Oryctolagus cuniculus: one gene and its partners. The protein of the gene in region 7 interacts with the protein of the main gene of each other region in a biochemical or structural test. Links are inferred from orthologs where the notes say so. Each region holds a gene or a part of one and is shown on either strand. Other genes may lie near its edges. The genes, in order: HABP4, HNRNPA1, KHDRBS1, UBAP2L, FBL, BTG2 and PRMT1.

Region 1 (3,977 bases), on a different chromosome or scaffold from region 7:
AACAAAGATAACCAGTGTTGTTTTTTCCTCCACAATTTAGACCCAAGAGATCAAGACCGCCACTGAACCCAGCTTGTGTCTGTGTGCTGGATCAGCAGCTCCAAGCAGATAATGCAAACACTGCACTTCACCACCCTTTCCAATAAAAGGCTGGCACACGCAGTTTGACCACTGATCTAAACCCAAGTTCATATGCAACAACAGAATGCAACAACATTTGCAGTAAGGTTTCCTACTAAATGAAGCTGAACTTCAGCTCTAGGAAAAGCAGAGCTGATTCATTTAGCTTCTGACCGCTTCAAGAAGGAATTTACAGAGCAAGGCTTGCCACAGGATTTATGTACATTGTTAGATAGTCACAGACTCTAAAAACCATGGGGGAAAATCTTATGATACACTTTTGTGAGATTAATAAACATTTCCATTATCTATCGAAGCTGCTTGGTTTTTGTCTACACTAAGTACTCGTGACATTCTTACCAAATTTAAAATCTTGCCTGTTGGAAAAGCTTAGTCCTTCATACCAATTAGGACTGTAAAACCTTGAGAGAGAAGCTCCCCAGCACTAATTGCAGACAGATTTAGCACAGTAACTACATAAGCAGAAATTAATGAGATATTTGCTCCTGAAATAACATACTGGGGAAAAAAAAAAAAACCTAGAATGACAAGATTTTCATTCTAGGGCTGGCGCTGTGGCGCAGTGGGTTGACACCCTGGCCTGAAGCGTCAGCATCCCATATGGGTACAGGTTCTAGTCCCGGCTGCTCCTCTTCCAATCCAGCTCTCTGCTGTGGCCTGGGAAAGCAGTAGAGCATGGCCCAGGCTTGGGCCCCTGCACCCACGTGGGAGACCAAGAAGAGGCTTCTGGCTCCTGGCTTCGGATTGGTGCAGCTCTGGCTATTGCGGCCATCTGGGGAGTGAACCAGCAGATGGAAGATCTCTCTCTCTGTCTCTACCTCTCTCTACAACTTTGTCTTTCCAATAAATAAAATAAATCTTTAAAAAAATTTTCATTCTAACCAAAAAAGTCAACTACATATCTCTAATATTGGACCTCAACAGTCAGAGCACTTGTACCACGAACTGACAGAAAAACGTTACAGGTGATTACAATGTCAAGCAAAAGAAGTAGGTTGCAACCCAGTTTCCATCAGATATTTTAAATTTAGAAAAAAAAATAGTGCTATGCATGTATGTATACAAACAGAAAGTGCCAGCAACGGGAAAAAGAGGATGTTCACTTCACCTCATTCATGCGGGAACTGTTTTAACATTTTTGTAACACAAATGCAGGGCATTTTGTTACAGGGCTAAAGATGAACATACTGACCGCACGCACTGCACTTTGACATCCTTCTACAGGATAAGCAGGGAGCGGAAAGCCTAGCCTTGCTGGATTCTCCAACTGCCATTATATTTACTTAAGAGAAAGGCCATAACGCAAACAGGATCTCAACCTCCCAGATCAAAGCAGCCTATACATTTACCGGCCTAGCACGGGCAGGCAGCATTTCTTAAGCTTTCCAACATCTTTGCTGTAATGACTCGACTTTCTGGTTCTCGACTGGGGCTCCTGGGCTCAACTTCCCAGACGCAGGTAAACACTACCTGGTCGCAGAGGTCACAGCCCTAACACTCTAACCGGGAGGTCCTCTCCCCAGCCGGGGTGCACGGACAGACGCTGGAGCGGTGGAACCGCCCGCTCTCAGCAAGCCCCGGTTTGGGGACAGTGGCAGTGACGCGGCCCGGGCCAGGGCGCCGGGCCCCGAGGCAGGCCAGGGCCGCGCTCAGGGAACCGGGCCGGTACCGGCTGGCGAAGGCTGCTGTTCTGAGGGGGAGCCACCGCGCCACCAGCCCCGCCGCCGACCCCCGGCAGCCACGTGCGTGCGGAGAGGCGCGGGGCGCGGGGCGCGGGCGCCCACCCGGGCCTTTGCTCCCGCGCCACCCGACCACCGAGTCAGGGGGCGCCCTGGCTCCTCCGCCGGCCCCCGCCCCGCTGCCCGCTCGACCTTCGGGAGCCGGGAGGCAGCGACCCCACCACACGCTTCCCCGGCACTACCCCCAACTCTGCCCAGCCCGTCGGACCCCAGCCCCGCCAGCCCGCACTAGCCCGCCGACCCCCAGAACTGCCCGAGGAGCGCAGACCCTCGGCCAAGGCCACAGAACTCTGAACTCGACCCTGACTCGTCTCTCCCAGACCCCCGGCCCACCACGGGGGTCGAGGAGCGGTGACCTCCGTGACCCCCTTCCCCTTCATCCCCAGCCCCGGAGGGACGCGCGTACCGAGCGGCTGCGGGCCGCCGCCGGGGCTGTCTGGCTGCTGAGCGCCGGGGGCCGGGAGGCTCTTGCGCTCCTTCTGGGACTCCCTGCGCCCGCCGCCCGCGCCGGGTCTGTGGCCCGAGGCCCCGGCCGCGCTCCGGCCCCCACGGCCGCCGGCTCCGGCCGCCGCCGCAGCTGCTGCTGCTGCCGCCGCCGCCGCCGCCGCCTCGTCGCGCCTCTTGCGCTGCAGCTGCTGCTGGCGCCGGCGCTCGGCCTCGCGCAGGATGTCGAACGGGTCCGACTCGTCGTCCAGCAGCTGATGGAAGCGGTTGGCCACGACGCAGCCGAAACTCTCCTGCATCGCGGCGGCGGCGGCTGCGGCCACGGGGCTCCCCAGAGCGCCCTTCATGCCGCCGCGGCCGCCTGTGGCCCCGCCGCGGGCAGCCCACGCGATCGAGTCTCAGCGAAGACGGCAGCGAAGACCCATCCTGCCCGCCTCCGCCACCGCCCTCCCTGCCCTACCCGGTCCCGTCCCTCCCGGTGCCCGCCCCGGCGCCGCCGCCGCCCGCCCAGCCGGCGCCCGATAGCCAATCAGCGTGTGCGGACACGCCCCTTTCCCCCCAGCCTTTGCATCCGGAAGCCCAATCACAGGCCGGCTGCTGTCACGTCACGCGACGCGTGTGCCCCGCCCCCTCCGGCCGGGCGCGGGGGGCGGAGCCAGGGGCGGGGCTCCTGTGAGGAGAAACCTGTGAAGAGAATCAGTGGTGGCGCGGCGGGCGGGCGGACAGCGGCCGGCACGCGTGTTTTCCCGGCGAGTGGGTCCGTGTTTCTTGTTTTCCTCTCTTGGTTGAAGCTTCGTGACCCGACGATGGGGAAGCCGGGAAAGGCTTTCCTTAGGCGATGCCGGCTCGGCCGAGGGAGAAGGGGGGGTCCCCGCCCAGACGCCAGGGCTACTGCTCGTGTCGGTCCTTATTGCAAGAGCCGTGGGAAACCGGCTTTGAACACGAGCAGGTTTGGGTTTGAAGAGGCCTTCCTGGCTGCGATAGAGGGGCTGGAGGTGGAACCCGCAGGGATAGTGACGCGGTGGCCGCGGAGGTGCCAAGAGTGGAGTCCAGAGCCGAGGAATGGGGGTTTCTGCCGGCCGGACGTGGGGGTGCCCTGGGTGTGGGCGCTGAGGAGGGAGAACATGAGGACTCCTGTTTTTTCTGGAACGGTAGTGCTAATCACAAAGAAATAGAGTCCCGGGATGGAACACTTGGATGACAATTAGGGGCTCAGTCCCAGGGGCGAGCATGGAGCCTGAGCAGTGGAGACGACACGTGGGACGCCCACATGCTCCGTCAGAGAGCCTGATTTGGGTCCTGCTCATGCGCACCCTAGGAGCTAGCAGGTGATGCCCCTCAAGTAGCCGGATCTCTGCTACCCACGTAGGAGACCTGCATTGAATTCCTGGCTCCCGGCTTCCATCTGGTCCAGCCTCAGCTGCTCTGAGCATTCGGGAAGTAAACGAGCAGATGGCAAATCTCTTTCTGTCTCTATCTCTGACTTTCAAGTAGATAAAAAAAAAAAAAAAAAAGCCAAAGAACCCATGTTGGACATGTTGTGTTTGGGGTTTTGTTTCTTTTGAGATATTCGGTTGAAACCCGGAGGCCCAGGAGAATGCTGGGCTGGACTTCGTCCAAGACATCTCACCTGGTCACCAACACAGACAGCTT
Region 2 (3,899 bases), on a different chromosome or scaffold from region 7:
GGGTTGCTTTGTAAAACTTCTGGATTATTCAACTGAATGCCTTGTCCAGAGAATGAAAATGCAGATGTGCAGCCACCTGAGTTTGGGAGGAAGCAGGCAGATAATAAAAGCTTTAATTCTGAACACTGAGCAGAATTGGGTACTCTCAGTCACCTTCTCAAGTAACACACAAAGGCCATCTTTCTGTTCCCTAGGAAGCAATTTTGGAGGCAGCGGAGGCTACAATGATTTTGGCAATTACAACAATCAATCTTCAAATTTTGGACCCATGAAGGGAGGAAATTTTGGAGGCAGAAGCTCTGGCCCCTATGGTGGTGGCGGCCAATATTTTGCCAAACCACGAAATCAAGGTATGGTATGAATGTAACTGGGAGATGAGCAAGTAAAAGGGAAAGGAGTTGGTTTGTTGGGTGCATAGCTGATGGTGCTGCCCTTGTCAGGTTTCGCTAAGGCTGTTAAATAGTCACTCCTAAGTTTGAACTTGTCTCATCCCATTGAACATGAAAGCAGGGCTTTTGCCGTGGGCACTTGAGAGGTTAAAAGGCCCAATCTTGTTCTAGGTGGCTATGGTGGTTCTAGCAGCAGCAGCAGCTATGGCAGTGGCAGAAGGTTTTAATAACTGCCAGGTAAGTAAACACCTTTTTTTGTGTGTGCTTTTTTTTTTAAGTTTTTATAATCGCTGCTAAACCCTAATGTAGCTAAGCAGTGTGGCATAGTTAACATTATAATATTGCAGTAAAATTGTGGGTATTAAGTTCAGATAATATTGATAATTCAGATGAGCAAAATTTGTGGGAAACAACTTAATATTGGATTGTAGCCTTGAGTCTTAATATGTTTAGATTAACAACTTTATTCCATATTGTTCAACAGGAAACAAAGCTTAGCAGGAGAGGAGAGCCAGAGAAGTGACAGGGAAGCTACAGGTTACAACAGATTTGTGAACTCAGCCAAGCACAGTGGTGGCAGGGCCTAGCTGCTACAAAGAAGACATGTTTTAGACAATACTCATGTGTATGGGCAAAAAAACTCGAGGACTGTATTTGTGACTAATTGTATAACAGGTTATTTTAGTTTCTGTTCTGTGGAAAGTGTAAAGCATTCCAACAAAGGGTTTTAATGTAGTTTTTTCTTTTTTTTTCTTTTGCACCCATGCTGTTGATTGCTAAATGTAATAGTCTGATCATGACGCTGAATAAATGTGTCTTTTTTTTAAATGTGCTGTGTAAAGTTAGTCTACTCTGAAGCCATCTTGGTAAACTTCCCCAAAAAGTGTAAAGTCAGAATTCATCAGGGTGATGCCAGGTTCCATTTGAGATTTATTTACAAAATGCTCGGGTGGAGAAGCTGTTCTCAGATACATGAGTTACTGTTGTGACCTTCTGAAGTTCACCATTAAAAGCCACCCAAGCAAAGTCATGGGGTTATTTGGTTATAAGAATGATTGTTGGCACATCCTTTGCAATATATCTAAATTGAATAATGGTACCAGATAAAATTACAGATGGGAATGAAGCTGTGTATCATCCATTATCATGTGTAATCAATAAACGATTTAATTCTCTTGAATGGAATGACAACTGTATGGATTTGGGACTGGCAGAGATTTGGACTTTTCCCTACCCTCCACCCCTGATAATGTTGAATCCTACCACAATGCAAGTTCAAAACTCTGCCAGAGAATAGAAGCCAGCTGCTGGCTAATGCTTCCACTCCATTAAGTCCACAAAGATTTAGAAGTGTTTTAAGAGACATTTCTTAAAAAATACCGGTACCAGTAAGACTTGAATTCAATATAAACAGGTTTTTATTAAAGGAAAACTGCAGTTCTGCTGGGTCATGGGTCGGTGTGTGGGTGGGTCGGTCTGTGGAAATGTATGTTGATTACACTGGTTGGGGGGATTAAAACCATGAAGTGGGAGGAACAAATGTTTCTGTATAATTTCATATTAACTGCAGTTTTCCTTTAAACATGACACAAGACCACACAATCATCTGAAAGTGTTAATTGTATATATAGATAATGATTTCTAAACCTTTCATAGTTCATGGATACCCAATAATTGTTATTTGTAAATAGGTTCTTTGAAGCCTACCCTCTTTAATTTCAGTGCCATTGTATCTAGTAGTATAGATCATTGTTTACTAGTAGGACTGTATATGCCATCCCAGGGGTGTGTTGGAACATTGGGGAGGAGGGTGGGAGGGAGGTGGGTGGAAGGTGGTGGGGGGTGGGTGAGCGTGGACGGTAGTTCATGATACTGGCTGAGTTTGCAATAGCAGGTGGAACCTTTAACTGTTGAGGGAGTTTGCAGATACATCAGGATTCGTGACAATGCCTTTAAAGATCCAGGAGAGATGTTCAGCTACTAGGAACTGCTAGCAAGCATAGCGCGAATGGCTCCGAGCTCAGACTCTACAGCTGAGAGTAGACACTTGTGGTATGTGGAGCACAGATAAGCCAGGGGCAGGCCACGGCACCCTCCATGAAAGCTAGGAGGAAGTGAAGTTTGAGTGACCATCGCCAGAAAGGAGGCAGACGAGAGTAAGGCACACCTGACTCTTAGGACTAGCAGTCAGAACCAGGAGGAAAGGTTTTATTGCTATGCTGGTAGGTAAGAACAGATTTTACTTACATCCATAAAGTTAACCTAAAATCCAGTATTCTGTTAAATTTTCCTTAATATATTGAGCCAAAACTAGTCCAGTTAAGCTGAACTTGGTTTTTCTGGAGAAATTGACACCCTATTGGTGGCTCCTAATTGAAGAAAGTAATTAATTCTGTGATAATCTATTTTTGCCCTTTAATTTTATTTGCTGTCCTTTTACCCATTTCCTTGAAATAATGGCTCAAATTAATATATTGGAATCTTCCCAAAATGGGGGGAGGGCTGGGTGGGTGGACCATTAGTGGGTGGGGGTGGTTTAGCTTGATGGGACTCTGTCTTCGAAAAGAGCCAGTTCTAAAGGCTGTTTACTTTTCTAGGGAAGAATCTGCTACACGCTTATCAGCTCTTATTAAAAAAATAATTATAATTAAACCCAGAAACTCCTGTCCATGGCTAGAAAGGTAAGTTTCTATAAAATAATGGCCAGCCAAGAGTTCTCCATATTTCCAAAGTCAAAGGGAGAATTACCAACACCCAAGCACAAGGTCCAATTGTCCATAACCAAAGCAGCCAGATTCCCAGTGGTGGCAGTTAGCTGATGACAGAGCCCTGTCCTAATGCGTTAACGACTTCACCCCTCTCTTTCCTTTGCAGGAACATCCTTGTGAGGACAACCTTTGAGCCACTCCATTTCTCACTGCTATGCAGTTGATACTAGCTGTTTTGCAGCTCTAATTATTCATTCCATTTTGTGAATGAGCTTTATGAATAATAAATCATTTTATAAATACTTGGTCTGCTTCATGTTATTTTCCCATTTTAAATTAGGGATTCAAAAATGTAGGATATCAGTGATAAACTGGTCTTGGTAAGACATTGAGGCAGAGAAAGATCTTCCATATTCTGGTTTGCTCTCCAGATTACAACAGCCAGAGCTGTAAAAATCCAAAGCCTGGAGCCTCTTGGATCCCCCATGCAGGTGCAGGGGCCCAAGGACTTGGCCATCTTCCACTGCTTTCCCAGACCATAGCAGAGAACTGGATTAGAAGTGGAGCCACTGGGACTTGGACCACAACGATGTGGGATGCCAGCACCACAGACTGGGGCTTTAACTTGCTGTGTGGTGGCACCAGCCACAGGCAGTTGCCTTGACTCCATGTCTCAGATCAACTGACTGCCTTTCCCTTCTGGGGGCAGAACAAGCTGCCCAACATGGCAGCTTTTAAATGGGGGTTGGTTCCTGACTGAGACGGTGTGCTGCATTGACACTGCCGCATTCAGGATCATGGT
Region 3 (3,500 bases), on a different chromosome or scaffold from region 7:
CAGAATAAATAAATTTTTAAAAAGCTTTAACATGATAAATTTTCTGGGTGCTTAAGGTTTTTTTGTTCTTTTAAGATTTATTTATTAGGCCGGCACTGTGGCTCAATAGGCTAATCCTCCACCTTGCGGCGCCGGCACACCGGGTTCTAGTCCCGGTTGGGGCGCCGGATTCTGTCCCGGTTGCCCCTCTTCCAGGCCAGCCCTCTGCTGTGGCCAGGGAGTGCAGTGGAGGATGGCCCAGGTGCTTGGGCCCTGCACCCCATGGGAGACCAGGAAAAGCACCTGGCTCCTGGCTCCTGCCATCGGATCAGCGCGGTGCGCCGGCTGCAGCGGCGGCCATTGGAGGGTGAACCAACGGCAAAAGGAAGACCTTTCTCTCTCTCTCTCTCTCTCACTGTCCACTCTGCCTGTCAAAAAAAAAAAAAAAAAAAAAAAAAAGATTTATTTATTTATTTGAAAGAGTTACAGAGAGAGAGAGAGACCTTCCATCTGCTGGTTTACTTCCCAGATGGCCGCAAGCCAGGAGCTTTATTTGGGTCACCCATGTAGGTGGCAGGGGCCCAGACACTTAGGCCATCCGCCATTAATTTTCCTAGGCCATTACCAGATAGCTGGATCAGAAGTAGAGCAGCCAGAACAGGAACTGATGCTTTTATGGGATGGTGTGTGTTAAATGTTCTTTGTATGTCATTTATAACTCAGTAAAGTGGATAAAAAGAAGTGCTTTGGTGCTTTTTTTTTTTTTTAGGACATTGAATTTGAACTAGGTGAAGGTGACTATATATTAAACACTTTCTAAGAAATAGACTAATTAGGCATTTGTATATGTTACTTTCCTCTGCCTTTATCTGTCCTCATAAGGTAGATATGGCCTCTGTTTTACAAATGCAGAAATCAAGATTCAAAGCAGTCAAATAACATCTTTTTTTCTTTTTCTTTTTTTTTTTTTTTACACAGGCAGAGTGGACAGTGAGAGAGAAACAGAGAGAAAGGTCTTCCTTTTGCCGTTGGTTCACCCTCCATTGGCCGCCGCGGCCGGTGTACCGCGCTGATCCGATGGCAGGAGCCAGGTGCTTCTCCTGGTCTCCCATGGGGTGCAGGGCCCAAGCACTTGGGCCATCCTCCATTGCACTCCCGGGCCACAGCAGAGAGCTGGCCTGAAAGAGGGGCAACTGGGACAGAATCCGGCGCCCTGACCGGGACTAGAACCTGGTGTGCCAGTGCCGCTAGGCGGAGGATTAGCCTAGTGAGCCGTGGCGCCAGCCAGTCAAATAACATCTAAGTTCACACAACTAGTGAGTGGCAGAGTAAGAACCAGGTCTTTCAAACTTTTAAGGACAAGTATCCAAAATCACTACTGTCATAATGGAATTTTAATGGAATGTTAAATATATATTTAAATTACTGGCTTCCCCCACTCCAAGATTTATTTATTCATTTAAAAGACAGATCTTCCTCCTGCTGGTTCGCTCCCCAGGTGGCAGCAACAGCCAGGACTGGGCTAGGCTGAAGTCAGGAGCTTCTTGTAGCTCTCCCACATGGGTGGCAAGAGCCTCAGGACTTGGGTCATCTTCTGCTGCTTTTCCCAGGCCATGGGCAGGGAGCTGAAACAGAAGCTGAGCAGCTTCTATAAGAACCAGTGCCCATATGGAATGCCCAGCGCTGCGGGCGGGGGCTTAACTTGCTGTTTCCTTTCTTCAGCAGGGTGCAACTTCGTATTTTTTCTTGGTGAAGATTTTTATTTTTTAGTTCCTTTATGCCCCTAGTCCTTATCTCATCTCATTAGTCTTGTTAAATTATTTACTTTTTTTTTTTTTTTTTTTTTAAGATTTATTTATTTGAGAGTTTCACAGAGAGAAGGAGAGGCAGAGAGAGAGAGGTCTTCCATCCACTGGTTCACTCCCCAATTGGCCGCAGTGGCCAGAGCTGTGCCGATCTGTAGCCAAGAACTTCCTCCGGGTCTCCCACACAGGTACAGGGGCCCAGGGACTTGGGCCATCTTCTGCTGCTTTCCCAGACCATAGCAGAGAGCTGGATCGGAAGTGGAGCAGCCGGGACTAGAACCAGCGCCCATATAGGATGCTGGCACTACAGGCAGCGGCTTTACCTGCTACGCCACAGCACTGGTCCCTCTACTTACTCTTAAATCAGGACATTTTGTATGTTTTTGGTGCAGAGGCTTCAGATCAGGATGGAAAGGAAACTGCTGGTAGAAGCAGGCGTTGGGTTTCCTAGCCATCCTCATATAGCTTTGACACTTGGAGCCAGTCTATCTGAAATTAGCACATTGGTCATCTGAAGTCCTCGGTTTCATTACGTGGTACTCCATGTTATTGCTTTAGCAGATTTGGGAATTTGCCTTCATTTACCAGACCAAAAATAAAATCTGTTTTTCCTATTCAGAAATTGAGAAGATTCAGAAAGGGGATTCAAAAAAGGATGATGAGGAGAATTACTTGGATTTATTTTCTCATAAGAACATGAAGCTGAAAGAGCGGGTACTGATTCCTGTCAAGCAGTATCCCAAGGTAGGAGAAAAATGTGCGCTCTTTAAATCTCTTTATGGTATGGGCGTCATTAGCTGTAGTAAGGATTTCTGAAGATGGTGATACGTCAGAAACTTGAGCCTGAGGAACTGCTGTTCCCTACTTGCGCTACCTGTTTGTGGTGGTTGGAACATCTGCATCTATAACTAATAGCATAGCTAAAGCCAGGAAGGAAATGAAATCATCTCGTTATTATCAATGAGTTGTGTGTGTGTGTGTGTGTGTGTGTTTAATGTTCATGCAGGCTCCAGGTCCAAGGAAAAAATTGAACCCTGCAGTTCTCACCATCAAAAAGATTGACCTGAAATCTAAATAAAATGAAATAGTTAAACAAATCCTTGACTGAATGAAGTTTATTTTCTTGCTCAAAGTTTAAGTCATTGCTTTCTTCTCCTCCTCTTTCTCCTTTTTAAGGAAAGCAACATTATTTATATTTAGTTAGCTAAACATAGTACCAAACAGTGTCACATGTCTGTTCTGTTGTAAGGTCACTGTCTTAAAAATGTTATGTGCTATATGTTAAAATGTTTATACTAAAATACTGCAAATTGGAGTGTGTGATGGACAGAGCACCAGCTTCCATCAGGAAACCCAACTTCCAAGTGTAGGAACTGCCACTTTCTGATGTGTAACCTTAGACTAATCACTTTATCAGCACAATCTTGGTATCCTTCAGTAAACTGGGAGTGGTAATACTCTACCTATTTTACAGGGTTGTTGAAAATCAATGCAGAGCACAAATATATGTGGAAATTTTTATAGGAGCATATGTATTTAGAAATCTCTTTTATTTCTGTCAGTTCAATTTTGTTGGAAAGATTCTTGGACCACAAGGAAATACAATAAAAAGGCTGCAGGAAGAGACTGGTGCAAAGATCTCTGTGTTGGGAAAGGGTTCAATGAGAGACAAAGCCAAGGTAAGCTCACATTAGTGAGGCAAGAGGATGCCCTAGT
Region 4 (3,500 bases), on a different chromosome or scaffold from region 7:
TGTCATCTCTTCTTGGAAGATCTGGTTGCTAGCCTTCTGAGTGCATATCAAAAGACCTCACCTTGCTCTGTTTTGACTTGGTGAGGGGACAGCATATCAGAGGTGATGTGGAGTGATTGTCAAGTACAGCCAGCATGCATGGGTGTTTTCGCTGAACTGATGTACTCCCACATTCTCCTGCAAGGATCACTGGATTTGAATTTTGGACCTTTCTGGTATCTGTTTGGATTTGGGGTGTCATTAGCAGTTTTGGGGATTGCCTTCTAGGATACAGGGATGGGGTAACTGGTTTGGGTTTTAATTTTTTATTTTGTTTCTTTGGATAGTTTACATTTTATTAATCCTTTTGTTACCTTGCAGAGTTTCTCCCAAAGGTGTTTTTGTTTGTTTGTTTGTTTGTATCACCAAAATTAAGCTGGGTCAGTGCTAACTTGCCCCATTCAAATGAGTTTGTTCTTGCTCCTCTGTTTCTTGTACCAGAATGGCTTCAGTTCGGTGCAGGCCACGCAGTTACAGACTACGCAATCTGTTGAAGGTGAGTGTTCTCTGAGCTTTTTCCTCTAAATTACAGTGCTTTTTCTCCTGTTAATATTTTCGCATTTCTTAGGTTGTCAAAAAAAGCTCTGACATGGTTGAAACATCTGCTATAATCTTAGTTTGGTTGTGCTTTACTGTTTAATGTGAAATCATCTAAACTTTTCAGGTTTTCTGTCTGTAAAGCAGATAATTTCATTGGTTTCTTTCATTAGGCAATTAAAATTCATGCTATGAAATGCATGGAGTTTCAAAAGATTCTACCTGGGGCCAGCTTTGTGGCTCAGTGCATTAAGTCACTGCCTGAAATGCCAGCATTCCGTATCAGGTTGCCATTCTGAATCCCAGCTACTCTGCTACTGATCCACCTTCCTGCTAGTGTGTCTGGGAAAGCAGTAGAGAATGGTCCAAATACTTAGGCCCTACCGCCCGTGTGGGAGACCCAGGTAGAGTTACAGGTTCCTGGCTTTGGCTTGGCCATTGTGGCCATTTGGGGAATGAACCAACTGATGGAAGAGATCTGTCAACTTTGCCTTTCCAAAAAAAAAAAAAACCTTTGTAATTCAAATACTTCATTATTAAATGACTCACACTCCTGTCGTTGGGGTAGCCCACGCCTGTAGCTACCTCTTCATTTGATGAAGTTCTTCTTTATTTCCAGGTGCTACAGGCTCTGCAGTGAAATCTGATTCACCTTCCACTTCTACCATCCCCCCTCTCAATGAAACGGTATCTGCAGCTTCCTTACTGACGACAACCAATCAGCACTCGTCCTCCTTGGGTGGCTTGAGCCATAGTGAGGAGATTCCAAATACCACCACCACACAACACAGCAGGTAACTTGGGGTGAGAGGATGGAGGTTGGGGTTAGTTGAGTATCAAAACAGAGCTCTCTTATTCTCTTATCCCCCTTGCTTGATAGAGACCATATTAAGTAAGTGGATAGCCTGAGTACTGTGAAAAGTGAAGGCTAAAAAGACCTATTTTATTTTCCCAATGCAATAGCTGCTTTAGCTTTAGTGGCTCACTACCCTGCCTGTTTACTGTGCTTACCATATGATCTAAGACCTTTTTGGTCCCATATTCTGGCTTCAGTTCCTTGCTTGTGTTGGACTGAAGCTCAAGGTCACTTGAGCACTGTGGCTGATGAACAGCTCTTTTCTGTCTTTACAGCACGTTATCTACACAGCAGAATACCCTTTCCTCATCAACATCTTCTGGACGGACTTCAACATCCACTCTTTTGGTAAGTATGGCACCGAGGACTGTGGTTTTCTTAAAGCTATAACTATCCAACACTGAAATTCTCCTAAGAGGGAATTCTTGAATGTTTCTTCATGGGGTGATAAAATGATAATTGGTCTGAGGTTGCAGGAAAAGGAGTAAAAAAGGGGTGTTGGGAAGTCAAGAGAGTCTGATGAATCTAGAAGTACTGCAGAGCCCTGGAAGTGATTGACTTTGCTCAACTCTGAAGGTAGATGGGGCTTTCTATGCTCAAGTAATTTTTGTAAGAAGGACCATTTCCGGGACTGGTGCTGTGGCACAGCAAGTAGAACCACCACCTGCAGTGATGGCAACCCATTTGAGCATTAGTTCGAGTCTTGGCTGCTCCACTTCCAATCCAGCTCTCTGCTTATGGCCTGGGAAAGCAGTGTAAGATAGCCCAAGTCCTTGGGTCCCTGTCACTGATGTGGGAGACCGGGAGGAAGCTCCTGGCTCCTGGCTTCAGATTGGCCCCGCTCCAGCCATTGCAGCCATATGTGGGGTAGTGAACCAGTGGTTAGAAGACCTCTCTCTCTCTTCTCTCTATCAAATAAATATTTATTATTATTATTAAAAAAGGATCATTTCCCTGTCATTCTTGAACTGAAACTGGAGTATAGTGAACACAAGTCCTGAAAGTAATCATCATGAATCTTGATATCCTTAAGAATTTAGATGCCTGGTGAGAAGTCTCTGTCAAAGAGTTTTACTGCTGTGATTTTAACAGTTATTGGTGGAATTAGGCTGAGTTTTAAAGGAAAGACTCATTGTGCATAAAGGTGTCAGGTTTGCTAGAAATCTGTGAGAAGATATATAAGGACTAAGACTTTATTAGGAATTTCTTTCTGGTCAGATACACAATTTCAGGTTTAAAGTCAGGGCTGTACTCTTTTCTAGCCCAGAAGCTGATCTGTTAGACTGAACTAGTAAAGAAAAGCATGAACGGGAAGGCTGTGACACATACCTCAGATCTTAATTATCTCTGTCCCCTTACTGCTAATCAGTGTTGGTCTCACACACTTTTCTGTCTTCCTGAATAGGATGATGATGTATAATGGGTCTCTGATACTATCCTTTCTAGTTGAATCTTGAGGAATGTGTAACTGGAGATTCCAGCTACTTTGGTAGATACAGGCACCTTGGTGCTCTGCCTTAGCCGTTTTAATTGGGAAAATTGACATGATGATATCAGAAGAAGGGATTGTGCATTCTTCCTTACCTGTGGTGCTAATTTTCATCTCTCTTCCATTGCTCCGCTTTTTGAAGCACACAAGTGTGGAGAGTGAGGCGAATCTCCATTCTTCCTCCAGCACTTTTTCCACCACATCCAGCACAGTCTCTGCACCTCCCCCTGTGGTCAGTGTCTCCTCTAGTCTGAACAGTGGCAGTAGCCTGGGCCTCAGCTTAGGCAGCAACTCCACCGTCACAGCCTCCACGCGAAGCTCAGTTGCTACAACTTCAGGTAATCTTGCATAGCTGGATGGCATTCCTCTGGGTTAGAGGTGAGTAATTGTGTGACAAGATCAAATGTAGTTTCTCTTTTAGGAAAAGCTCCTCCCAACCTCCCTCCTGGGGTCCCGCCGTTGTTGCCTAATCCATATATCATGGCTCCAGGGCTGTTACATGCCTACCCGGTAAGTGGCACTGGATAGTCTTCTCCAAGAGGTGAGGGTAGTATGGCTACTCCTTTTGTGTGTCTGGCT
Region 5 (4,051 bases), about 6.3 Mb from region 7:
CGGCTCCCACAAGGGATGCTGGGGCTCACCCTGCTGTGCCACAACCCTGGCCTCAAGAACCTAGAACTTAATCCAGGTCTCCGTGGGGGTGGCAGGGCTCAAGTACTTGAGCCATCATCTGTTGCCCCCCAGGGTGGGCATTAGCAGAAAGCTGGATCAGAACAGAGCAGCAGGGACTCGAATCGGGCACTCTGATACGGACGCATCTTAACTGCTGTGCCATGAATGCCTGCCCCAGCATGGGCACTTTTACAGATGCTGATATGGGGCCCAGGCTGGGAGGCGCCGTACTGAGGGCCTGGCCTTGGGGTAATTAGTCCCCACTCCCTCCTGCTCAGGAGGAAAGCTACAACCGAGGCCTGACAGAGCAGAGACCCTGGGAAGGCCCGGCATGAGCACTGGGTACAGGGTCGTGAGCGTGAACTGTGCCTGAAAACTCAACTCGTCGCTAATCCATCGCCGGCCTTGCGGCTCGTGCACCAGAAGCCACCGACTCTGACTCCCAGGGAAGCTTCGGGCGCACAGCCCACAGACTCCCTGCTTCCAAAACTGCCCCCACCGCCGTCTTCCTCACCCACAGGGCCAGCTCCATCCTTCCAATTCCTCTCTCACATCCACACAGTCGACTGGTGCTATTTCCAAAACACATCCCCAGGTCATCCATTTGTCAGCAGGTCCACTGCTGCCATCTTGGTCCGAACTGCGTCACCAGGTTTCAGCGACACGCCTGCCACCGACGTGCCTGCAGCCACTCTGCTCCCCTAAGGCCCAGTTTACACAGAGGGCCCCTCTTCAAGATGTCAATCAGGGTGCAGTAGGTAAAGCCAACACCTGCCGTGTAGGCATCCCATATGGGCGCCGGCGCAAGTCCCAGCTGCTCCACTTCCAAACCAGCTCTCTGCTATGGCCTGGGAAGGCAGCAGAAGATGGCCCAAGTGCTTGGGCCCCTGCACCCACATGGGAGACCAGAGAAAAAGCTCCTGGTTCCGGATTGGCACAGCTCCAACTGCTGCAGTCAACTGGGGAGTGAACCAACAGATGGAAGACCTCTCCCCGCCCCTGCAATTCTGCCTTTCAAATAAATAAATAAATCTTAATAAAAGAAAGAAAGCTGTCTATCAGACCGCACGGCATCCTGCTCAGAATCTCCCAGAGGCTTCCCATCCTATCACAGCATGCGGCAAAGCTGGGAGGGAGAGGCTGCTCCCTCTGTCCCTGGGGGAATCTCAGGTGGCTCGAGGCCTGCAGGCATGCCAGGTTCCCAGGAGGAGAGATCTACAGCGTAGCATCCACCCCACTTCATCAGGAGACACCCAAGGGAACGAGGCTCAGGAGGAGGGCATGGATCCACAAGCTTCCCCCAACCCCCCCACGACCCCCATCTCCACACACACAGGGAAACTCAGACCCTTTCGGCCACAGTGGAAAACTTCCCAAACTCTGTGCAGCAAGTTCTCAAACAGAACGATTGTGGGGGTTGGGCAGAAGGACCCTCATTTTGTTTCCCTTGAGAAGCAACCTGAACCTGTTATCTATATGGCCAGTATTGGGCTAATTGTTTTTAAAACATCATCTCCCTTGGGGCCAGTGCCATGGCTCACTTGGTTAATCCTCTGCCTGCAGCGCTGGCACCCCATATGGGCGCCCGGTTCTAGTCCCGGTTGCTCCTCTTCCAGTCCTGCTGTGCCCCGGGAGTGCAGTGGAGGATGGCCCAAGTGCTTGGGCCCTGCACCCCATGGGAGACCAGGAGGAAGCTCCTGGCTCCTGGCTTCGGATCGGCGCAGTGCCGGTCCTGGTGGCTATTTGGGGGGAGAACCAACAGAAGGAAGATCTTTCTCTCTCTCTCTCACTGTCTATAACTGTCAAGTTAAAAAAAAAAAAATGATCTCCCGTAATAGTAACCAGGTGCCATATTATTGATGCAAAAACCGGTAAAATCACTTGTTCAAGGTCACATACACGGCGAACGAAGAAGCGGGGCCAGGATTCGAACACTGAACCGAGGCCCTGCTCCTGTCAAAACCAGGAGTCACATCCTCCCGCCATCGGGGCTGAGCAGCCCCACACCCCTGCCAAGGGCGGGCTTCTAGAAACCCACTCCATCGCCGGGGGCAGCCCCCCGGAAGCGCAGGGAGCGGCTTCAACAGGGCCAGGGGCTGCTAACGATGGTGGTGGCGGCAGCCAAGGGGCGGCAACGGGGGCCTCCCGACCCTGCTGCCAGCCCCAAGACCAGGCACTCTCGGTGTCCGACCCAAACCCACGCCCAGGGACCCAAGACCTCAGAGACCTGGATCCAGGCTCTAGGTCCGAGCCCCCCGAGGGCTGCCCAGACCCAAGAGCCAAAAATCTCTTCCTAAAGACGGCTTCCGCGAGACGAACCCTGGGCCAGGAACGCTAACCTCAAACCAAAGCTTCTGACTCACGGCCGCGACCCCCGAAGCCAGCCAGAATTCCCCAAACCCCCAGGGCTCAGGATCGACCCCAGGTTGGGAGCAGGACCGCCCCCCCCCCCCCGCCCTCCTCTCCACACGAGATCGGCTCCCGGGCTCGGAACGCCAGCCTGCAGGCCAGGACCCTGCCCCTCCGATTCCGGCCTGGTACCCACATTCCTTCCGGAGCCCAGTCCCCAGCCCGCGACCCCAACCCCAGCCTGCACCTGGCTTCATGGCGAGCTACCAGTTGCGCCGTCTGGGGAATCTGCGGCGTCCCTGAACGCACGAGTCTGGGGCTGCCGCACGTGGAAAGGAGCGCAGGCGCGCGGCGACGTACGGCGCATGACGCGTCACGCAGCCCCGCCCCCGGGCTCCCGGGCTCCCTGCCCCGCCCGGCGCTCTGCGCGCGCGCAGTGGGCGGGGATTTCCCGAGTCCCGGGCTCCGCCCCCTCCGCGCTCTGCGCTTCCCGGGCTTTGCGCGCCCAGGTGTCGCGGCCGCGCTCAACCTGTCTTCGCTTCCTCTTCTCCGGTGCAAGGATCCCAGCGATCGGGACTACTTCGCACAGGCTGTGCCCCCTGCCCCTCTTGTGTCTTCCTAGCTACATCCCTGAGGCCCCCTCTAAGAACCATAAAACCGTTCTTTACCCAATTCCACCCCTGAGACCAGGGCTGTACTCTGGGTTCTCATTTGTATTGGCACAAACAGCATGTAGGGTGCCTCTTGTATGCGCCAGGCGCTGGGAATTCAGCAGCGAACAAAACAGAGAAACTGCCGCCCTCCTGGAGCTCGTCTTTTGTTTATTTTATTCCAAGATTTATTTTATGGATTTGAAAAGCAGAGATACAGAAAGAGAGGGAGAGACAGAGATCTTCCTTCCGCTGGTCCACTCCCCAAATGGGCCAGACTGAAGCCAGGAGCTTCTGCCAGGTCTCCCACGTGGGTACAGGGGTCCAAGCACTTGGGCCCTCCTCCGCTGCTTTGCCAGGTGCATTAGCAGGGAGCAGGGTAGTGACTCGAACTGGCGCCCATATGGGATGCAGCGACGGCTTTACCTGCTACTGCTACAGGGCCGGCCCGGACCTCATCCTTTAATGGGGAAAACATCAAGTCAGCAACACACGGTGGTGGCTAGAAGTCCATATGGGACTTCTGAGAAATGAGCTCCAAGTGTGAGGCTCCCACTTTTCAGGGACAAAGGAAGGCTCGGGAGTGCTGGAGACACAGTGGTGAGTGTGGCCGGGGCAGAGTGAACCAGGGGAGGGTGGGAGGGGCCCCGGGCAGGGAAGCAGCAGGGCAGACTGTATGTGTAGGGCCTCTGTGCTTTTACCCCGAGGGAGACGGTGCCATGGCAGGGACCTAAGCAGAGAAGGGGCTCCATCAGACATGGGTCACTCAGGCCACGGTGGGGGTGACGGCGGGAACAGAAGAATGAGAAGCGACCAGGCAGGAGCCAAGGTTGGACCACAGCAGCGTGTGGGCAGGGAGGGGTGAGGAGGGCTCCTGCGTGAAGTATTGAGAACACTGTGCCGTGCACTTTTGTGATACTAATATGCGTCCCACGGAGCAAAGCAGCGTTGCTGCTGGGAGAAGTTGCTGAATGCACCCACGGGAACCTCCT
Region 6 (3,934 bases), on a different chromosome or scaffold from region 7:
TCAGCTCTCTGCTATGGCCTGGGAAAGCAGTGGAGGATGGCCCAAGTACTTGGGCCTCTGCAGCCATGTGGGAGACCAGGGAGAGGCGCCTGGCTCCTGGCTTAGGATCAGCGCAGCTCTGGCCTTTGCGGCCATTTGGGAAATGAACCAATGGAAGACCTTTCTCCCTGTCTCTTCTTCTCATTGTCTGTAACTCTAACTCTCAAATAAAAAAAATAAAATCTTTAAATACAAAAAAGGAGTGGGAAGGAGGCAGTGAGTGATCCAGGAGACAAGGACAGGAGCCACAGGACAGCAGGGCCAGGCATGTTCGGGCACACCTGGAATGGGGACCAAGTGACAGAGCAGAGGTGCGGATCCTGGGCTGCAGAGGTGACCCTGGCATGGGCAGTGGAGGTACATGGGCTAAATTATGAAAGGCAGAGCAGTACAGGAGACAGATGCGGGAGGGAGTGTCCCAGAGTGGTCTCAGCAAGCCGACCCGGCCCTTCAGGAAGGGGGGTCCTTGATGAGCAGCAAAGCGCAGGAGCGTCTGAGTGTTGTGGGCAAAAGGCAGGGAATGAGGGTTTCTACGAGAAACCAGGACCAGAAAGGGAGCTGGCTTGGCAGGGGGCAGGGGCCCAGGCTGCCCGCGTGGTGGCGGCTGGACGACCCTGCCCGTGTAGGAGTGCGCTGTGAGAAGTCAACAGGCTCCCTCCGGGGAAAGAGAGGGAGACAGGCGTAGGGGTGCGGGGGCACCAAGCGGGAGCGGGCGGCACGGTCTGCAGCCAGCGCAGCCCGCAGGGCACGGGGTCGGAGAAGGGCGGGAGAAAGGCTTGGAGTGAGTGGCCTGGTTCCTCGGACAAGTTACGGCGCCTTGCCGTGCGCCGGCCTCTGCGCCAGGCTGTGCCAGGTTGGGGACCTTCCTGCCTTCAGCCCATTCACCGGCTGTGGGAGACGGAGCCTGAGGTTGTCAAGGGCCCACAAGGGCCCCCGCGAGGGACAGCTGCGGGCGGACCACGCACTCCACACGCCTGGCACTGAGAGCAAAGTCAGAACGAGAGAAAACAACCCGGGGGCACAAAAGAGGCCCCGCGGCCCGCCCACTCCGGGCCCCCGCGGGGAAAGCGGGACTGGACGAGGCGCAGACCTTGCTGGGGGCAGGTGGCAGAGCAGAGAGGTGGCTCAGCCCCACTCCGACCGGAGAGGAAAAGCAGCCCAGCCGCGGAGCCGGGACAGCGCGTCTGGAGTCCCAGCAGGGCCGCTTGGGCGGCGTGGCACTCGCCAAGGCTTCCTGGAGGAGGGGGCCTTAAAACCCAGCCAAGCCTCGGACTGGCGGAGAGCCGAGGACCGGACACGTCCGGCGGGCAGCACCCGGGGAGCCACCTCCCTTCCCCGAGAGCTCGCGCCCCCTCCCTCCTCGGCCCTCGCTCGCTCCTCCGCTCGCCGCAGCTCCGGAGCCGGGCGCAGGTTCCCAGCACTGACGTCAGCGGGCGATGACCTCAGCGCAGACGAGGGGGCGGAGGCGGGGGCGGAGCGGTGCCACGACGGACCCCACCCCCGTCCCCCGTCCGCCGCCAATGGGCGCCGCCCCCGATTGCCCCGCCCCCGGGAACCCTAAGAAATTCGCGGCCCGGGGGAAGTCCGCGCAGAGTGCGAGCGGCGACCAGACGGCGAAGCTGGCTCCCCGGCACGTCCCGCGGAGACCTCTCCCTGCTCCTGGCGCCGCGCACGACATGAGCCACGGGCAGAGAAGCGACATGGTCCCGGAGATCGCCGCCGCTGTGGGCTTCCTCTCCAGCCTCCTGAGGACGCGGGGCTGCGTGAGCGAGCAGAGGCTTAAGGTTTTCAGCGGGGCGCTCCAGGAAGCACTAACAGGTGAGCGCTGCCCAGTGTACTGGCGCCCCCCCCACCACACACACCGGGGCGACCACCCGCTGCTCTCGGGGTCCCGGTTGCCCTCCCCCGACTCCCCGTGTCGTGTCTTCCGGCAGGGCGCGCCCCTTCACACCGTGGAGCTGATCAGCTTGCGCGCGGGCAGAGGGGGTACCCGTGAGTCTGAGTAGGGGCGCGTCTCCGTCGCGGAACGCCTGAGACCTGAAGCCCCGCCAGTCAAACGGGGGGTCCGTGGTGGAGAAGAAGGAGTCCTCGGGGCTTCTCCCGTTGTTGCCTCGCTGGAAGTTGGGATCTGGTCTCCCTTTGTCTTCTCTTTGGTCCGTCTCAGCCATCTGCCACCTACTGTGGTGTAGAGAGAGCCGGGAGCCAGGACCTCCGCTCTGTGGCCGGGCCTGGGGGGTGAGGGGCACTTGAGAACAGGATTAGCTGCCGGCTGGGCAGGAGACCCAGCTCCCTTGCCGCCCGCTAGGCTGGGGCTGGAGGGCGGTACAGATCCTGCCTGCCCAGGAACAACACAGTCCATCAAAACAATCCATCTCCACTTCCTTGTCCCCGGGCTAACTGTCCCTGTCTCTTCTAAAGGAAGCAAAGGGGCCACTAGGCCAGAGGGGAGGCCCAATGACTTTCTCTGGACCCAAGAATGCTGGCAGCTTCCTTGGCCTTGAGCCTCTGGAGCCCCTGCCTGGACATGCCAGCCCTAGTCACACCCGTCCCTCCCTCCTTAAACTGGCTGTGGCCCTGGACAGAGCCCCAGCGCTCTGGCGCCCCCTGCCACAGGCACACTCCCCTGTCCTGGCAGAGGGAGGGGCCTCCGTTTCTGGAGGGTCCTGCTTGCGGTCCCTGGGCCCCTTCCCCTCCTCCTCTCCTCCACCCTGGTCGATGTCCCTGCAGCTCTAACCTGAGCCCGGTCCTGTCTCCGCAGAGCACTACAGACACCACTGGTTTCCTGAAAAGCCGTCCAAGGGCTCCGGCTACCGCTGCATCCGCATCAACCACAAGATGGACCCGATCATCAGCAAGGTGGCCAGCCAGACCGGACTGAGCCAGCCCCAGCTGCACCGGCTGCTGCCCAGCGAGCTGACCCTGTGGGTGGACCCCTTTGAGGTGTCCTACCGCATCGGCGAGGACGGCTCCATCTGCGTCCTGTACGAGGAGGCCCCGGTGGCTGCCTCCTGTGGGCTTCTCACCTGCAAGAACCAGGTGATGCTGGGCAGAAGCAGCCCCTCGAAGAACTACGTGATGGCCGTGTCCAGCTAGACGTCGCCCCTGCCGCCGGCCCGGCACGCGGCTGTGCTCGTCCTGCCGTGACCACGGCCGCCGCATACCTCAGCCTGGGGAACTGTGTTTCTACATGAAGAGCTATTTATATATATATTATTTTTTTTAAGAAAAGAGGAGGAAAAAAAAACAACCAAAAGATTTTTTTAAGAAAAAAATCCTTAAAGGGAGCTGCTTAGAAGCGGCCTCCCCAGGTGCCTTTGCAGAGTCTGTGAGCCAGTGTCTGCCCGTGGGGGGAGGGGAGGTTAGGCTGGCACCCCAAACAAGGTTAGCTACTGTGAACAAGTGGGGGGCTGGGGTCTGCCCTGGGGGAGAACAGGGGTGAAGTTCAAGCCTCCCCGTTCCCCGCCAGGACACCTGCATCCCCGGCCCCGCTCTCACTCAGGGGCATTCAAGCCTGGACTTAAACAATCCTCTGTAGCCTGATCTTCTTACTTTCCTGTTGAGATTCTAGGCAGGGAGTGAAAAGGCCTCTCCTGGCTTAGCAGCTCTTCCTGTTTCAGATTCTACCCTCAGGGGCCTGTAGAAGTTGCCCCCTACCCCCACAGCCCCCACCCCAGGGGTAAGGCGGGGATTGGAAGTCCCAGGGGGTGGGGGTGGAAGGGAACTCTGCACAAAACTTTTGCTTTGCTCTGTGCTGCTTTGTGTGTGCGTGTGGCAGGTGTTTTGGGGGCCGACTTGCAATGGAATCTTGGGACCCAAAGAGTATCCACTAAGGATGTCTTTTGGCCAAAACCCTTTTTTTTTTTTGGAACCACGCGAGAGCCCCGATGCTGCTACC
Region 7 (4,169 bases):
CTCCTGGCTGCGCCAACCCTAGCTCCTGCAGGCACTGGGGTGAGGGAACCAGCCGCTTCCGATAACATGAAGATATGCAAATATTCCTACGCACGCACAGGCCTCAGGGCCGCACTCACCTCGTGGATGCCGAAGTGGGCGTAGGAGTCAAAGTAGTAGTCTTTGGACGTCATGTCCTCGGCGTTGGGCTTCTCGCTGCCTTCGGCCTGGCCGCAGGACACCTGGCAGGGAGGGGACGGGGCACGGTTAGATCCAGGGGCTCCGCCTCCCCGCCTTTCCCTCAGGAGTGTTACCGAGACCCCCGAATCATAGCCGTGACGGCCCTGGAGTCCCCGCAGCCCCCACAACCTACGATCCCCGTTCGCCACGTCCAGGACCCCCCAGAGCACCGTCCAGGGGAGCGCCCGATGCCGCAGGCCCGCCTACCATCTCTCCAGTCTCTCTGCCCCCGTCTCTAGCTCAGCCCACAGCTGGGGAGGGGAGGGGAAGGGAAGGCAGGACTGGGGCAGACGCGGGGAAGGGCCAGGGGGTTGGAGATGGAGTTAAGGAAGCAGCCACGGAACCGGGGCCAGCAGGGGCCGTGACCCTGGAGGGGTTGGCACTAAGTGTGGCGGGGGCTTCTGGGGAAGCTGGTTTGAAGCCACAGGGACCACCGTGAGGCCTGTGGGAGGGGCCAGCCGTGTGGCGAGAGACTTGTGTGGAGCTGCAGGTGGGGGCGGGTCTCAGAGCGAGACAGACTGATGTGGAGGTGCGGGTGGGGGGCCGGCCGTGTGGGGAGATGGGTTTATGTGCAGGTGCGGGTGGGAGGGGTCTCACAAAAGGATATTTACGTCGTCAAGAGGCGGCTGGAGGCTCATCCCATTAGCCAAGGTGGCTACAAAATTCTAGGAGAGAGTACAGGGAGAGAGGATTAGCTACGGGAGAGGCCAGGGAGGGCCAGTCTCTGGGGAGTGGGATCCCTTCACTTTCCTGCTCCGGGCTGGGCGCTGTGAGGAGGGAGTCAGTGATGGGGCGGTGAGAAAGGGAGGGGAGAAGTGGAGGGAGAAGCGGGGTCTCCTATCCCAGCTGTGGCTGGAGAGATGGCGGCCTGCCCCCACCCCGGCCGAGGACCTGGCGTCCGCCGGGCACACGGGCAGCGCCAGCTGTCCCTCCTGCTCCTTGCCTAATCCCCCCAGATTAGGTGACGCTTCCTCACACCCCATCCCCGGTGCCCTGAATAGCTGGAGCGAGGGGGGCCGGCGGGGTGCGCCCCCAAGGCCTCCCGTGGGGCAGGATTCCAGAAAGAGGGCTGGGCACGCGGCCACCCCCAGCGCCAGCACCCCGGCTCCCGGCTCCCGCCGTGGCTTCAGGAAGCTCCACACAAAACCAGGAAGGGCAGGAGCCGGGAGGCCAGCCCCGCGAGGACGGCCCCACAGGTGGCCCGTCTCGGCCACCCAGACCCTGAAGCCCCCACGCGTGACTTCCGGGAAGTCACTTCCTCCACTCTCCCCAGGAGAGTCAAGGGGGCCCCGCGGGGCAGTGAGTGCTGCACCCCCATCCCGAGAACGCTACGAGGGGTGACAGTCCGCCACACCACACCTCTTCAGAGGGGCCAAGTCACAGGCCACGGCCCACCTGGCTCCAGGCCCTCTCCCCAAATTCTCCCAAGCCAGCGGTATCGAATACCACCCATGCGTGCCCCGTCCCGGGAGGGCTTGCAACCACCCAAACTGGAACCTTCACCCCATGGCTGCACAGGGCCGAAATCTCGCTGCAAACCAGGACCCTCCGTCAGGCCGGGCAAGGTCATCTCCCACGCTCGCACACGCGGGAACCCAGCGGGCACAGCTCACAGCCCGCGCGCGGTGCATTTCTCATCCCATCGCCTTCCCGGCCAACACTCTCCCTCCGCCCACCCTGGAGGGCTCCAACGGGGAGGTGGGCTTGCGGACACGCCCATGAAGAAGGTCCCTCCCACACGCCGAGAACTGGCCACCAGGGGGTGCGCGGCGCCCTATCGGGGAGATCTCCATCTAGGTGCCCCCCCACCGCACAGGGAGGTCACAGGGGCATGACCCATCCCCCAGCTCCCGAAGCCCCGGCCCGGGGAGAGCCCGGGGGCAGAGGAGGAGCTGGGGGGGCGCTGCAATTCTCCATCTCTCTCCCACGCCGCGCGGAGGTCCCTGGCCCCGTGTGCAGGGGGGACCAGCGCCGCCCCCCAAGACTCCTTCCGAGGGGCCGGTCAGCAGGCACACCCCACCCCAGCGCGTGCAACCCGGTCCCCGGGGAGCAGCCCTGGAGGGGCTCTGCGAGGGGGTCGGAGGCTCCCACCGGACCCCCTCCTCCGGGCGGGGGCGGGGCCTTTGTCCCGCACGTGGAGTCCGCCGGGCCACCGGGATCGGCACACCCCCTCCCCACCCACCGCGCCGCAGCCACGTGGGGGCCCGGCCGGAAGCGCCCCCGGCCCTCCTCCACGTGGGAGGGGGGATGAGCCCCTCGGCTCAGCCGGGTATCGAAGGCCCCAGAAAGCGAGGGAACCCCCCAACTCCAGCGATATCCTCAGATCCGGAGCATTCGCCGCTCCCTCCGCGCGGCCAGGGGCCCTTTTAGCCCCACTTCGGCGACTCAGAGCCCCCTCCCCACCGCGGGAGCGTAAAACGCCGACGCCAGGCCGCCCCCATCCCCGGCGGCGCTCCGGGCTCTCACCTCCATGATGCAGTTCGCGGCCTCGGCTGCCGCCATCTTCACCCGCACCTACTCCTCCTCCTCCTCCGGCAGCCGAGACCCCCCCCTTTCTCCTCACTCCCCCGGGACCGCCTTATACCGGAGGGTCGACGACACGCCTACCGCTACCGCGCTAGGAGATTTCATTGGCAACGGCGGCGGCCCGTCTGAAAATACCGTGTAGCAATTGGGTGCCGAAGACGCCCGTCAAAGGCCAGGGCCCTCCCAGTCTGGCGGTCACAGCCCCGCCCCCTTAAGTCGACTGGGATGGGAGAAGCTGCCTGTCCATCTCAAGAACCCCGTCTACTGATTGGACAAAGTTAACCAGGAGTGTCCGCCCAGCACCTCCTCAAAACTTCCCGGCGGTCCTCGCGCTAAGCGGACGTCTTGAAGCAGAGCTGTCCATCAACGAATTGACCCGCCACCTGATCGCTGCTATTGGCTAAGCCGGAAGGTGACGTCACCAGGCCTCTGGCTAGCTCTGGCCGAGCACGGCCCTCAAGGAGAACACGGCAATTGGCCCACGGGGAGCGAGCCAGGCCGGCCTTTCGGCACCAGCGATTGGCTCAGAGGAACTGCCGCTCATCGTCCGTCCGGTGGGTCCTGGCAGCTCGAGGGGAGTCCTGCAGGAGCCGGGGAGCCTGTGCCCGTTCACCCGGGGACAGGAACGGACGCAGCGCGAGGCCCCGAGGCAGGGAGGGCTTGATGGGAGCCAGGCGTGGACGCCTGTCACCCGCGCCCCGTCCTTAACGGCGCCAAGTCTGGGACCCAGCAGCCCCCTCTGGGCCGCCGGGCCTTCGCCACGTCCCGCCTCCTGCCAGGAACGCCCTCCTCCCTTTGTCTGGCCGGCACCCAGCGGTCAGTGCGGGCGTCCGGCCGCTGCCGCCTCCGGGAAGCCCTCCCGGATCTACACGCAGGCACGCAGTGGAGGCTAATGCCGGGCGCTGAGTGCGTGCACCCCGCCGCAGTCCTCGGGCCGGCGCCTTTCCACGCCCCGGCGGGCTTCCCGCCCGGTCCACTCGAGCACAGGGAGGTTCCCTGGATGACCTATCAGCTCGCCTCCCGCTCTCCAGGGCTCCCCGCGTCCGAGCACCGGGCCCCCGCCCCTGCCTCCCACCCGCTCCCTAGCACCCCCGAGGGCAGAGGCGGAGAGCGCGAGCGAGCACACTCCCACTGCCTGGGTCTCCGCCCCAGATGTCCCACAAAGGCCAGGCCCAGAAGCTGGGCGCCTGGAGCTCCGTCCCGGCCTCCCACGTGGGTGGGGGGCCCAGCTGCTGCGGTTTAGTAGGGACCTGGAGCTGGAGCCAGGCATAGAGGGCGGGATGTAGGGGCCTCGTCGGTTAGGCTGAAAGCCCGCCCCTCAGATTTAAATGAATGTAGCCCCTCCCCCAGCACGCCATTGCTTAGAGGGAGAATCGCTCGGGGAGGGGGGGGGCAAGGCGGTGTTTCCATCTCAGAAAGTAGAA

The links.
Region 1: the proteins of PRMT1 (region 7) and HABP4 form a complex in vitro, tested with the Homo sapiens proteins (2 studies listed by BioGRID, with this or other methods). The link is inferred for Oryctolagus cuniculus from reciprocal best matches to the Homo sapiens genes PRMT1 and HABP4.
Region 2: of the proteins of PRMT1 (region 7) and HNRNPA1, one has a biochemical effect on the other in vitro, tested with the Homo sapiens proteins (3 studies listed by BioGRID, with this or other methods). The link is inferred for Oryctolagus cuniculus from reciprocal best matches to the Homo sapiens genes PRMT1 and HNRNPA1.
Region 3: of the proteins of PRMT1 (region 7) and KHDRBS1, one has a biochemical effect on the other in vitro, tested with the Homo sapiens proteins (2 studies listed by BioGRID). The link is inferred for Oryctolagus cuniculus from reciprocal best matches to the Homo sapiens genes PRMT1 and KHDRBS1.
Region 4: of the proteins of PRMT1 (region 7) and UBAP2L, one has a biochemical effect on the other in vitro, tested with the Homo sapiens proteins (2 studies listed by BioGRID, with this or other methods). The link is inferred for Oryctolagus cuniculus from reciprocal best matches to the Homo sapiens genes PRMT1 and UBAP2L.
Region 5: of the proteins of PRMT1 (region 7) and FBL, one has a biochemical effect on the other in vitro, tested with the Homo sapiens proteins (2 studies listed by BioGRID). The link is inferred for Oryctolagus cuniculus from reciprocal best matches to the Homo sapiens genes PRMT1 and FBL.
Region 6: the proteins of PRMT1 (region 7) and BTG2 form a complex in vitro, tested with the Homo sapiens proteins (2 studies listed by BioGRID). The link is inferred for Oryctolagus cuniculus from reciprocal best matches to the Homo sapiens genes PRMT1 and BTG2.

Annotation. Positions count from the first base shown.
Region 1 is NC_091432.1:141,290,836-141,294,812, forward strand, and holds the start of HABP4 (intracellular hyaluronan-binding protein 4), read right to left. Parts: upstream 2,801-3,977; 5' UTR 2,672-2,800; coding exon 2,287-2,671; intron 1-2,286. UniProt on the Homo sapiens protein: Ribosome-binding protein that promotes ribosome hibernation, a process during which ribosomes are stabilized in an inactive state and preserved from proteasomal degradation.
Region 2 is NC_091442.1:57,220,230-57,224,128, forward strand, and holds the end of HNRNPA1 (heterogeneous nuclear ribonucleoprotein A1), read left to right. Parts: intron 1-194; coding exon 195-350; intron 351-560; coding exon 561-616; 3' UTR 617-626; intron 627-873; exon of another isoform or gene 874-1,569; intron 1,570-2,986; 3' UTR 2,987-3,399; downstream 3,400-3,899. UniProt on the Homo sapiens protein: Involved in the packaging of pre-mRNA into hnRNP particles, transport of poly(A) mRNA from the nucleus to the cytoplasm and modulation of splice site selection.
Region 3 is NC_091438.1:140,400,118-140,403,617, reverse strand, and holds part of KHDRBS1 (KH domain-containing, RNA-binding, signal transduction-associated protein 1), read left to right. Parts: intron 1-2,403; coding exon 2,404-2,528; intron 2,529-3,346; coding exon 3,347-3,463; intron 3,464-3,500. UniProt on the Homo sapiens protein: Recruited and tyrosine phosphorylated by several receptor systems, for example the T-cell, leptin and insulin receptors. Once phosphorylated, functions as an adapter protein in signal transduction cascades by binding to SH2 and SH3 domain-containing proteins.
Region 4 is NC_091438.1:44,138,999-44,142,498, reverse strand, and holds part of UBAP2L (ubiquitin-associated protein 2-like), read left to right. Parts: intron 1-480; coding exon 481-535; intron 536-1,195; coding exon 1,196-1,370; intron 1,371-1,707; coding exon 1,708-1,780; intron 1,781-3,063; coding exon 3,064-3,259; intron 3,260-3,342; coding exon 3,343-3,431; intron 3,432-3,500. UniProt on the Homo sapiens protein: Recruits the ubiquitination machinery to RNA polymerase II for polyubiquitination, removal and degradation, when the transcription-coupled nucleotide excision repair (TC-NER) machinery fails to resolve DNA damage.
Region 5 is NC_091449.1:14,143,720-14,147,770, reverse strand, and holds the start of FBL (rRNA 2'-O-methyltransferase fibrillarin), read right to left. Parts: upstream 2,801-4,051; 5' UTR 2,667-2,800; coding exon 2,657-2,666; intron 1-2,656.
Region 6 is NC_091444.1:19,034,168-19,038,101, forward strand, and holds the start of BTG2 (protein BTG2), read left to right. Parts: upstream 1-1,134; 5' UTR 1,135-1,475; coding exon 1,476-1,857; intron 1,858-2,797; coding exon 2,798-3,132; 3' UTR 3,133-3,934. UniProt on the Homo sapiens protein: Anti-proliferative protein; the function is mediated by association with deadenylase subunits of the CCR4-NOT complex. Activates mRNA deadenylation in a CNOT6 and CNOT7-dependent manner. In vitro can inhibit deadenylase activity of CNOT7 and CNOT8.
Region 7 is NC_091449.1:7,829,451-7,833,619, forward strand, and holds the start of PRMT1 (protein arginine N-methyltransferase 1), read right to left. Parts: upstream 2,801-4,169; 5' UTR 2,722-2,800; coding exon 2,686-2,721; intron 1,895-2,685; exon of another isoform or gene 1,723-1,894; intron 885-1,722; coding exon 831-884; exon of another isoform or gene 827-830; intron 530-826; exon of another isoform or gene 430-529; coding exon of another isoform or gene 427-429; intron 222-426; coding exon 120-221; intron 1-119. UniProt on the Homo sapiens protein: Arginine methyltransferase that methylates (mono and asymmetric dimethylation) the guanidino nitrogens of arginyl residues present in proteins such as ESR1, histone H2, H3 and H4, FMR1, ILF3, HNRNPA1, HNRNPD, NFATC2IP, SUPT5H, TAF15, EWS, HABP4, SERBP1, RBM15, FOXO1, CHTOP, MAP3K5/ASK1, MICU1 and NPRL2.